Cricetulus griseus: one gene and its partners. Each later gene encodes a partner of the first gene's protein in a complex. Links are inferred from orthologs where the notes say so. Each region holds a gene or a part of one and is shown on either strand. Other genes may lie near its edges.

The links.
Region 2: the proteins of Cfb (region 1) and Cfp are in contact, whole or in part, in a crystal structure (PDB 7NOZ), measured with the Homo sapiens proteins. The link is inferred for Cricetulus griseus from reciprocal best matches to the Homo sapiens genes CFB and CFP. Residues at the interface, in NP_001701.2 of Homo sapiens: Glu54, Gln56, Ser78, Thr316, Tyr317, Leu349, Ser351, Met394; in NP_001138724.1 of Homo sapiens: Arg329, Arg330, Asn331, Lys333, Pro341, Met420, Val421.
Region 3: the proteins of Cfb (region 1) and Cfd are in contact, whole or in part, in a crystal structure (PDB 2XWB), measured with the Homo sapiens proteins. The link is inferred for Cricetulus griseus from reciprocal best matches to the Homo sapiens genes CFB and CFD. Residues at the interface, in NP_001701.2 of Homo sapiens: Glu298, Ala301, Ser302, Ala332, Asp333, Ile469, Asp470, Glu471, Ser472, Glu518, Tyr519, Lys585, Asp758, Glu759, Asp760; in NP_001919.2 of Homo sapiens: Asn157, His158, Ala159, Gly160, Arg161, Arg162, Arg182, Thr183, Asp186, Arg200, Val228, Cys229, Gly230, Asn231, Arg232, Lys233.

What each region holds. Positions count from the first base shown.
Region 1 is NW_023276806.1:231,398,402-231,401,810, forward strand, and holds the end of Cfb (complement factor B), read right to left. Parts: intron 3,351-3,409; coding exon 3,249-3,350; intron 3,174-3,248; coding exon 3,036-3,173; intron 2,647-3,035; coding exon 2,549-2,646; intron 2,170-2,548; coding exon 2,052-2,169; intron 1,919-2,051; coding exon 1,765-1,918; intron 1,653-1,764; coding exon 1,576-1,652; intron 1,400-1,575; coding exon 1,299-1,399; intron 1,216-1,298; coding exon 1,083-1,215; intron 1,009-1,082; coding exon 959-1,008; intron 750-958; coding exon 594-749; 3' UTR 548-593; downstream 1-547. Other genes in the region: Nelfe (negative elongation factor E), read left to right, coding at 232-302.
Region 2 is NC_048604.1:125,778,091-125,782,178, forward strand, and holds the start of Cfp (properdin), read right to left. Parts: upstream 2,826-4,088; 5' UTR 2,033-2,825; coding exon of another isoform or gene 1,998-2,032; exon of another isoform or gene 1,775-1,997; intron 1,417-1,774; coding exon of another isoform or gene 1,360-1,416; coding exon 1,296-1,359; intron 1,209-1,295; coding exon 1,058-1,208; intron 1-1,057. UniProt on the Homo sapiens protein: A positive regulator of the alternate pathway (AP) of complement. It binds to and stabilizes the C3- and C5-convertase enzyme complexes. Inhibits CFI-CFH mediated degradation of Complement C3 beta chain (C3b).
Region 3 is NC_048598.1:100,689,713-100,693,249, forward strand, and holds Cfd (complement factor D), read left to right. Parts: upstream 1-1,345; coding exon 1,346-1,400; intron 1,401-1,801; coding exon 1,802-1,958; intron 1,959-2,047; coding exon 2,048-2,195; intron 2,196-2,333; coding exon 2,334-2,591; intron 2,592-2,781; coding exon 2,782-2,943; 3' UTR 2,944-2,977; downstream 2,978-3,537.

The DNA of each region.
Region 1 (3,409 bases):
CCACAGAGATGTTCTCATCTTTAATTTCATGTATTTCATGATTTCATCATTCACATGTCTCACGCACAGTAACAAGGTTCTGCGTTCTCTAAGCCATAGTGAGACTCTGGCCACCAGGGGGCAGCATAAGCACTGGTAGGCCAAGGCCAGGGCGGAGATAATCAGACTCAGACCTCAGGTCTAACCTGTGAGCTGCTTGACATCTTAATTGTCCCTTTCCTCCCTCCTCAGCTGTCCAGAACAGCCCTAAGGGCTGCCACCGGGACAAAAGGACCCAGATTGTGTACAGTGACGATCTGTAGGAAACCTGTGGATGGCTTTTAGGACACGAAGCTGGATTCCTTGTGCCTCGTATGCCCCCAAGCTGGTCTCAGTAAAATCCTGGGGCAGAAGTTCCCTCACCCCCTTCAGCCTCTAGTCTTTCAACACTTGGGATCGGGGTTAAACCTTCAAAAGTGGCTGTCAGTGTTGATGTTACTTGTAGCAACATGACCAGTGCACACCCCCTGACCCCTTACCCCCAAAAGATGAAGAATACAGTCCTTATCGCAGCTGTTTTAATTTGACCCTCGCCCCTCCCAGCCGGAAGCCCCTCATAGGAAACCCAAATCCTCATCTTTGAGTTTCTCCTTGAGCCAGGGGAGCACCTGGAAAAGGTTGACATGGAAGTCCCGGGCATGAGCAGGTACCATCTGTTGCCGCCTCTGCCCTTTACAGACATCCACTACGCCCCAGCTGATGACACCGACCTGTGCAGGTGAAGGGTGCCATGGGTCACTTGACACTTCATAATCCCATAAAGCAGCCAAGCTGACCCAAAACAGTACACCAGGGGCCCAGCTCGCACTGTCTTCCTTGGTGCACATAGGCCAGATGCTTGGCTTATAGTCAGCCACGTGCATCAAGCGTTCCTTTTTGTGGTATATGTGGCCCCTGGGCGTCTCCCCCACAGACTCACTTGAATAAAGCGGCTCCTCTTGTGAACAATGAGAGGACCCCCAGAATCTCCTGTGGAAGAGAGAAGCTGTAGGGAAAGACGGCTGGGCCCTGTGGGCTTCACCATAGCCAGAGAGCCACCTCACCTTTGCAAGTATTGGGGTCAGCATAGGGGTCCACCCCGCCAGTGCAGAGGAACCTGGGGGTGACCACCTCAGACACATCCTTGACCTTGTCATAGCCTTGTGCCCTCAGAGCATCTCTCTCACAGCTGGCTTTCTGTAGGGGAGAAAGGGTATGATGACTAGAGCTTGCTTGGGAGGGAGCAGGCCTAGGTGGCCTCTCTAGGAGCCCCTTCTCACCTTGTCCCCATTCTTGATGTAGACCTCCTTCCGAGTCAGCTTCCTCCCTTCTTCAGACACGAACAGAGCTTTGACGTCCTTCACGGGGAGCAACTCCTCCTCTGGATGAGTGACAGGGTCATGCTGTCTCCCCACCCATCATGTCTCTCATGTCTCATCCATCATCTGTCTCTTGGGCCCTTCTTAAGAGCTAGGCCCTGTGTTGAGCATAGTCTACTCCCTCTGTGACCCCTGTGTCTTGGCTCTCAGCCTCGTCCTGCCCCAGACCACGCCTTACTGTGCTGCTTGCAAGTGGCTGTCTGAGGAAGCCGTAAGGCTCGGGTGGTTCCCTCCGTGCAGGGGAGACAGATGGGCCTGTTGAGGAGATGGGGACAGTCAGGCAGCAGATACCCTGCCTGCCCTGTGCCCAGTGCCCTGTGCTTCCAGCCCGCCTTCCCCAGCTCCTCAGGGACCTGGCCCTACTCACCTGAGAGTCTGGTCATACTTCAGCTTGGTCTTGAGCTTGATGAGGGCCACATCGTAGTCATAGAACTCAGGGATTCCTTGTGCCTTCTTCTCATTGATGTTGTAATTGGGGTGAAACAGGACCTCTTCGATCTCCAGGTCCTGCTTCTTCCCTCCTGTATGGGTTTATGTACATAAGCAGCCTGCTGGCTCTAGCCCCTGTCACCACTTGAGTTCTGTGGTCCCCGACCTTGGGTGTAAGGACAGGTCAGGCACAGGGTGCTTCCTGGAGATGAGATGCACCCTTACCTACGTTGACCTTGATGGAGTGTTTCTGATCTTCCACTGTGAAGCAGTGTGCTGCCGTCAGCACAAAGTACTCAGACACCACGGCCCCCATGCAGTTCTCGTGGCCTTTCAGTGGGCGCTGGAGGAGAACCAGTGTCGTGTTAGCCTTGGGGTGGGTGGGTGTGTGTGTGCACACTACTGGAGGTTGGCTCCATACATGCTACGACAGCACTCCATAGCCCTCCCCCCTCTCTGTTTCTGCCTGCCTTGCTGTGTAGCCCTGGCTGACCACAAACTTCCAGCAGCTGGGGGTACCGACCGTACATGCCCCCTCCCCCAGCTTCCTTTTTCCATTTCAGTTTCATAAGTTATTGGTGCCGACCCTGAACTCACTATAGCCCAAGCGGGCTGTGAATCTCTGCCCTGCCTCAACTTCTGAACAGCTGGGACTACAGACCTGGCTAGTGTGTACATTTATTTCATCGCCCTCCACAAGTCCCCACTGCTGGGATGCTCACAGTGACTGAGATCTTGGCCTGCCATGGCTGCTTGTGGTAGTCCGTGCCTTTCTTGTGTTCCCACACCATGCCGCAGAGACCCAGAGATTTGGTTTCATCTGGCAGAGAAAGAATGTTGAAGGCTCAAGTCTTGGCAGCCATCCTCGTTGGATCCTTCCTCCAACAAGGAGGAAGAAGAGTGGTTCCCTGTGTTAGATGGGGAACCCCTGTGGCGTAGTGAGAAAAGCCAGTAAGACCAGTCTATCTGAGGATTGAGCACTGTAGACCCAGTCTGGGTGCTGCCTTCTTTCCTCTGAGCCTGTCTTGGCCTCAGTTTCCACATCTGTTCAAATGAACTCTTAGAGTTTAATGATTGTGAGACCAGGAAGTAAAGAACGTCAGGAAACAAGAAAGACACTGGGGTGAGCGGGAGGAAAGGATTGGGGGAGCCAGTCTGCCAGGGCTTCAGGGTGAGGGGAGTCAGTGACCTGCGTCTGCATCTTCCTACCAATCATCTGGTAGAAAACGTCCTCCAGGCTCTCCATGTCCTTGACTTTGAACACATGCTGCTCGTTGTCCTTTTTGGAAGCCAAGGCATTGATGTTCGCGGAGTCCACCAGAGGCCCGACCCCAAACACATACACATCTGAGGCAGACAAAGAAAGGGTGAGGGCCCACGTCCTGAGGAGTGAGAGTGCTGGATCCCAGCCAGGTCACTCACCCAAATAATCTTCCCGGGGATTTTTGCGATCCCTGCCAATGTCCAGCAGGTTTCGGATCTCCTCAATGACAGTGACAGGGTCTCCACCCATGTTGTACAAGCCTGTGGAAAACATGGAGACCATGAAAGTGGGCCCAGACACTGGCTGGACTTGAGGACTA
Region 2 (4,088 bases), on another chromosome or scaffold:
CTCAAACCCATCATCCTTACAGTGTTACCTGGAGTAAGCAGTCATAAAATATATCTACAGTATAGTAAGGTTCAACATATGTAAACTGGAAGTCATGATTAGGAGACTTGAGGTGCTTTCAGAGATCAAACTGCCACAGAGGAATTGCACAATGAATGTGTCATTACAATGAAAGGTTTGAGTGTTGCCCTTAGAAGTTCCCCAAAGTCCTCCATTCCTATGATAGATCTATATACAATAAGCACTCAAGTATGATCTGTTATAAGTTAGGAGAATGGAGCTACCACCAAAAATATCCAAGTTGCACCCCATCTGCAATATTTTCAGGAAGCCCTGACTTTTCAATGAAGTACTTTTCAATGAGGGCTGATTTGGTCTCCACCAGCGGACATTTGGCAGTTTCTAGATATGGTTGCCTTTTTAAAAATTCTTCTCTCAGCCGGGCGTTGGTGGCGCACACCTTTAATCCCAGCACTTGGGAGGCAGAGGCAGGCAGATCTCTGTGAGTTCGAGGCCAGCCTGGTCTCCAGAGCGAGTGCCAGGATAGGCTCCAAAGCTCACAGAGAAACCCTGTCTCGAAAAACAAAACAAAACAAAACAAAACAAAAAAAATTCTTCTCTCATACAATACATTCCAACTATAGTTTCCCCTCTTTCCACTCCTGCCCAGATTCACTCCTTCTCTGTTTTCCTTCAGAAAGGAGCAGGCCTCCCAGGGATACCAACCAAACACAGCATAACAAGATACAATAAGACTAGGCACAAACCCTCATATCAGGGTAGGGCGAGGCAACCCAGTAGGAGAAAAAGGGCCTCAAGAACAGGTGAAAAGAGTCAGACACACCCCCACTCCCACTGTTAACCAGTAGAGAGAGTTGTTAAAAACACTTAGGGGAAGGTCAGGTATGTTATAAAATACCCAACAATGCTCAGAACTCATATTCCTAACAAAGAGCTCCAAATGGCAATAGTGCCAAGGTTTTGAGTACTCTTAGAAGGTCCAGGGAAACAGAGTACAGTTCTAGATTACAGGGCTCAGCCCAGGTGCCCCCCGAACCTGCATGCCTGACAGGGACCACCACCATGCTCCTGGAAGGCATAGGCAGCATTGAGACAGCAGTCTTCCACGCTGACATCTCCCCCAAGCAGGCCTTTGCACTTCCCAGAGGACTCTTCATACTTGGTGAAGCAGAACACAGGGTCTGAACCTGTAAGACCAGGAGAGAGGAATGAACAATCAGGGTGTGGTTGTCCTGGGCATCCCTGGGAGGACATCTGGGCCCCCACCCACTTACCTGTGGCTGGCAGGGTAAGCAGTAGCAGCAGTAGCGTCGGAGGAGCTTGCATTCCAGCAAGCATTTTGAGCACTGTCTTTGTCCTCTCTTACAGAGTAAGCCTTCCTTAATCTGGGCTGATCTGCTCAGGAAAGAGGAACCCAGAGCAGGAGGAACTGGGAGGGTATGACCTCTTTAGCTCTGACCTCTCCCTTGAGCCCTCTGCCTCCTCTACTTCTCTCCCCTCTCCATTTCCTGTGTCTCCCTTGGTCCTGTTCTGTCACCCAATATTTGCCACCTAATACCCCACTCCACCCAGAAACCTCTTAGTTTTCAATTAATGCATATGAGACAAATTCTCACTGAAGGGCACTGGAGCCTGAAATTCTGAAGCAAGAACCACCTAGGTGTGTGACCTTAGACAAGTCACTTTAAATTCTCAGCCTTAGCTTCCTGCCCCCCCCCCTTTTTTGAGATGAGATTTTATAATGTAGCCATACCAGGCCTGAGATTTGCTTTGCAGACCTGGATTGCCTTGAACAGGCATGTCACACCATGACTGGCTTGTTTTCTTCCCTGTAAAATGCACAATCTTGACTATAGTAATGGGATCAACTTCAATGGGGTACTGGAGAAGGGTGAAATGAGGGTAGCCCTCCTCAAGTAGTCCGTCAAGGAGAAGGTATCAGGGCAACTGCTTCATCTTCCTTCTTGAAAACCCACCTCTTTCCTAAAAGTGAGGTTCCTGTGGTCAGCATGTGTGTGGGAGGTCAGTGCAAGGGAAGTGAGAAAGGGAAGTGGCTTTGTGTGGGAAGTGATTCAGAAATGGGTTCGGTGGGGTGGGGGTGGAGGTGTTTCAGGCATACCCATTGCCCAAGGGGGCCATCTGAAGAAACCCTTAGGGTCTACAGGGGTAGAGAAGAGAGAATCAGCTGAGGCATATTCTATGCGCACCTAGGATAAGATACCATTTGCCTCTAAGCCTGTTTCCTTTTTTGTAAAATGTGCAGACAAACAGGGCCCTGGGAGGTACAAGACTGTAATCTTAGCTACTTTGGAGGTTGAAACAAGCAGAATGAGAGTTCAAGGCTTGCCTAGGCTACAGTGTGAGTTCAAGGCTACGCTGGCTAATTTAGTGAGATTCTGTCTCAGAAATAAAATTTAAAGAAGGGAAGGGTGGAGGTGAGATTGCTCAGTGTGTGAAGCTCAGTGCTTGCTTCAAAGCCTGATGTCCTGAATTAAATTGCTAGGACACACATGATGGGAGGAGATAACTGACTCACTTAAGTTGTCCTCTGACCTCTCCACATGTGCATTGAGGCACATGTGTGTGGTGTCCCCCCCCCCCCAATAAATAAATGTAGTAAAATGTTTAAAGGATGAGAGTGGCTAGAGATGTAGCTCAGTTGGTAGAGTGCTAGCCTAGCATCGATGAAGCCTTTGGTTTGTTACTTAACGTCATACAAATTGAGCACAATGATGGGTACGTATAGTCTTAGCAATTGGGAGGTAGAGGCAAGAGGATCAGAAGTTCAAGGCTATCGTTGGCTACACAGCAAGGTTTAAGGTATGTGAAATTCCATTTTAAAAACAAACAAGCAAGCTGGGTGGTGATGGCACACACCTTTAAATCCAGCCTGGTCTACAAAGTGAGTTCCAGGACATCCGGGACTGTTACACAAAGAAATCCTGTGTCAAAAAACCAAAACCACAGAGGCAGGCAGAGCTCTGTGAGTTTGAGGTCAGCCTGGTCTCCAGAGCGAGTACCAGGATAGGCTCCAAAGCTACACAGAGAAACCCTGTTTCTAAAAACTAAACAAAAACAAAAACAAAAAACAAACAAACAAACAAAAAAACAAAAGAAACAAGCAAGCAAAGGGATGGCTGGATGTTTAGCTTAGTGGTATGCCATTTGCCCAGCATGAAAGCAGCTTTGGGTTTGATCCCCAGCTCTGAAAATGTAAAGCACATTTATAGCACCTGACATAGTTAGATCTGTAACTGACTGAGAATTAAAATATTTAGAACAGTGCCTGACTGTGTGTATTAAATTGTTCCACATTTATAGAGTGTCTGAGTGGTTCTGAGAATAGAGAACAGAACAGATAAAAATCACTGACTGAAAACTCACTCTCCAGCCTTAGGACACACCAGAATCATTCACAGGGCTTCGAGACTGAACTGCAGATTTCTGGGTCCCATGTATTTCTCATTCAGCGGGTGTGGCATGGGTATCCACTAATGCATTTCTAACAAGCTCCTAGGAGACACTGATGCTGGTTTGAAGAACTTTGAGAAACACTATTTTGGTCCTTGATCCCACTTTAGTTTTCTTGGTGGGTCATAGTTAGAGAAAAAATTTTACAGGTGCCTTGTTTCACTGTTAATGAATGATCCATCTTCAACCCATTTTCCTCAAGGAGAATCTGAGCTCCCCAGACCTGCTTTTCACTTTCTAATTTTTTAAAGGATTTTGTTTTTTTTATTATGTATACACATTCTGCTTCCATGTATATCTGCACACCAGAAGAGGGCACCATGTGGTTGCTGGGAATTGAACTCAGGACCTCTGAAAGAGCAGCCAGAGCTCTGAACCTATGAGCCATCTCTCTAGCCCCTACTTTCTAATTTTTTAAAAACAAGCCTTGCCGGGGGAAGGGGGGAGGTTGGTGGCACACACCTTTAATCCCAGCACTCGGGAGGCAGAGGCAGGTGGATCTCTGTGAGTTTGAGACCAGCCTGGTCTACAAGAGCTACTTCCCAGACAGCCTCCAAAGTCACAGAGAAACCCTGTCTTGAAACAAACAAACAAAT
Region 3 (3,537 bases), on another chromosome or scaffold:
TGTTTTGTTTCTGAGACTCTGTAGCCCAAGCTGGCCTCAAACTCACAGAGATCCTCCTGTTTCTGCCTTCCAAGTGCTGGGGTTGAAAGGCCCAATCACCCAGGTGGCTTCTGATTTTATTTTATTTATTTATTTTTGTATCTTAAAAATTAATTTATTTTTTACATTTCAATCCTAGTTCCCCCTCCCTCCTCCTCTGGATCCCCCCACTTCCTCCCCACCCCACCTCCCACCTGTTCCTCAGAGAGGGGAAGGCCTCCCCTAGGAAGTCAACTAAGTCTGTCCCATCATCTCATTGAGGCAGGACCAAGGCACCTCTCCACCCCTACACCCCTGTGTCTAGGCCGAGCAAGGTGTCTCTCCATATAGAATGGGTTCCACTAAGTCAGCTTGTGCATTAGAGTTAGATCTTGGACCCACTGCCAGTGGCCTCATATATTGGCCCAGTCACACCACTGTCATCTATATTAAGGGAGTCTACTTCGGTCTTATGCAGGTTCCCCGTTTGTCAGATGGCTTCTGATTTTAATAAGGGGTTTTGACTTCCCATCTGCAACATTAGCTCACCCCCCAAATCAAGAACTCCCAAATGCTCCAACAGGGATGGTTGTGCTGTGCTCCCATGCTGCTCCCCACTCTCCTTATCCCATCCCATGGATTAGCTTATGGGGCTTGTGACCTAGGCTCAGCCAAACATTATGTTGTTTAACATGAGGATCAGATTTTACAGTGAGGGTCCCTGAACCACAATTGGGAACAGCCTGGTGAGGGGGGGAAACTGAGCCTGGATCAAGCCATACCTGAAGGCAAAATTCACAGGACATTCTTTTACATTTCCTTAGGCTACACTCTGCTGAGGTGTCAGACCCTGACAGCCACAGGGTTCAAGTGCCTACAGGCAAACAGCCTTCTCTCCAAGTTGGAGGAGGAAGTGTGGGAGGGTAAAAAGATGGGGAGATGATTGCCAACTGGCCTCCTGCTGTGGTAATTGCGACAGACACCATGCTGGAAGGACACTTACTGGGCCAGGGTGCTGGGTGCTTCAACCTCCTACCCCTCCCAAGAGGTGCCACCTTCAGGGTGGGCACTGGCCGGAGTCTCAGGCAGGAGAGAGAGGAGGTATTCCACCACCACCCCACCACCACCCCCACCCCCCTCCATGCACCCAGCGGGTTTATCTAATCCATCCCACAAGGGCCGAAACACTCAAATCTGAAAGCGCAGATTCCCAGTTCCCTAGTTGGGTCTCTGCCCACGAGGCAGGCGGAGGGCGGGAGGCACCTGCCCCATAAAATAGCCCCCTAGGAGCCGCCTGGGTCAGCGTCTGCACTCATTGGCGTCAAAAATGCACAGCTCTGTGTGGCTCGTGGCTCTAGTGGTCCTGGGAGCCGCTGTAGGTGGTGAGTGGACCAGGGAGGGACAGCTGGACACAGCCGCTGGCCGGCACACCAGGGGCCCCCTACAGCCAAACACGCTCTAAACTGAGAATCTGCAATCTGAGCCTCCTGGTCTCTGAGCTTTTATCAACAGCAAGAATCTGAATCTGAAACCTGTAGACTTTATAGACTTAAAGAACTAGAATTCACCTTGGGGCCAGTGAAAGTTTGATCCCCTGGACCCATAGAGTGGAAGAAGGGAAAGGATTCCCTGCAAGTTGCACCACCCACCTGGCTTCTGAGTTTGCAGCCCCTCGGAAGTGTATTTTACGGTGATGGGGTTCTGGTCGAGAGGTTGTGTGTGTGTCGGTGTGTCCGAGCTCTCCCAGACCACCCTAACCCTGACAGCGCGCCCTCCTCCTCAGCAGCGCAGCCCCGAGGCCGGATCCTGGGTGGCCAGGAGGCTAAGGCCCACACTTGGCCCAGCATGGCTTCGGTGCAAGTGAACGGCACACACGTGTGCGGTGGCACCCTGGTGGATGAGCAGTGGGTGCTGAGCGCCGCGCACTGCATGGACGGAGTGTGAGTAGCGAGGATGGGGGCTGAGGGGAGGGAGTGGGGCCTCGGGAAGGGGGACGTGGATCTGAGGTGGGCCCTCTTCCTGGCCCCAGGACCGGGGATGAGATTGTGCAAGTGCTCTTGGGTGCCCACTCCCTGTCGAAGTCGGAACCCTCCAAGCGGCTGTACGACGTGCAAAGAGCAGTGCGTCACCCGAGCAGCCGGCCTGACCGCATCGAGGACGACCTTCTCCTCTTGAAGGTGAGGAAGCTGGGTCCTTCCTACGCCCTGGGCTCCACTCAGAGTCTAGCCTCGACCCTTCCTTCTGCACCGCCACCTCAGTCCATTCCCCAGCCCCGCCCCGCCCCCACCACGATATTGTCCTCCTCCCACCCTTAGCTGTCCCAGAATGTGTCTCTGGGACCCTACGTGAGCCCCCTGCCCTTGCAAAGCGAGGACCGGGACGTGGCCCCTGGAACGCTCTGCGACGTAGCCGGTTGGGGCGTGGTCAGCCACGCGGGGCGCCGGCCCGACGTCCTGCAGAAGCTAACGGTGCCAATCATGGACCGGAACACCTGCAATCTGCGCGTGCATCACGACGGGGTCGTCACCCAGAACATGATTTGTACAGAGAGCAACCGCAGGGACAGCTGCAGGGTGAGTGGCACGGCCCGGGTCCTGTGGCGTGGGGGTGGAGCCCAAGGGTCTGCGGAGGTCGGCGATGGGCGTGGCTCGGGAAGGGGCGTGGCTTGCAGGAAGAGCTGCGTTCAGGAGTCCCCGGAGCTGCTTAAAAGTCAGAGTGGCTTGGCTATTGGGTGAGTATGTAACTCGTGGCCCCGCCGCACAGGGCGACTCTGGCGGCCCCCTGGTGTGCGGGAACAAGGTCGAGGGTGTGGTCGCGTGGGGCTCGCGAGTCTGCGGAAACCGCAAGAAGCCGGGCGTTTTCACCCGCTTGTCGACCTACAAAGACTGGATCGAAAATGTCATGCATGGTAACTGGACTATCTGAGGGGACCCCGAAGACACGTGTCTCACAATAAATGCATGCATCTGAGCCCTGTGTGCGTCTTTTTACTGTTTTTTCCAAGCAGGGTTTCTCTACAGCCGGAGAGCCTACTTGTCCTGGAACTCACGCTGTAGATCAGGCTAGCCTGCCTCTGCCTCCCGAGTGCCACCACCGCCCGGCCTCCCTGTGCGTCTTTATTGAGCGCCTGCTGCACACACACAGCCGGGAGGCTGAAGGCAGGTGGTTCCACGCTCGGCCACACGGAGGCGGGCGTGCTCTTTTGAGTAACGGTGGGGCGGTGCCCACTCCTACTCCACAGAGGTCCTGCTGCACCTAGGACCATCCGTCTGGGCTCGGACAGCATTGCCAAGGCACTCCGAAGTTGACATAAATACTGAAAGGGGAAATTGAGACACGGAGAAGCCACGGACAAAGGCTGAATTCCAACCCAGAGCCCATATTGGTTCACTGAGGAAGTAGTTGATGTCTGCAGCCAGCGCCACGGGGGCTGGAGAGCTTGTGGGTGACAATGGGCAGAACCCAGACCCAAATCCTGTGCCTTTCTACCCCGAGGAGGACAGGGACACTGAGAGGTGT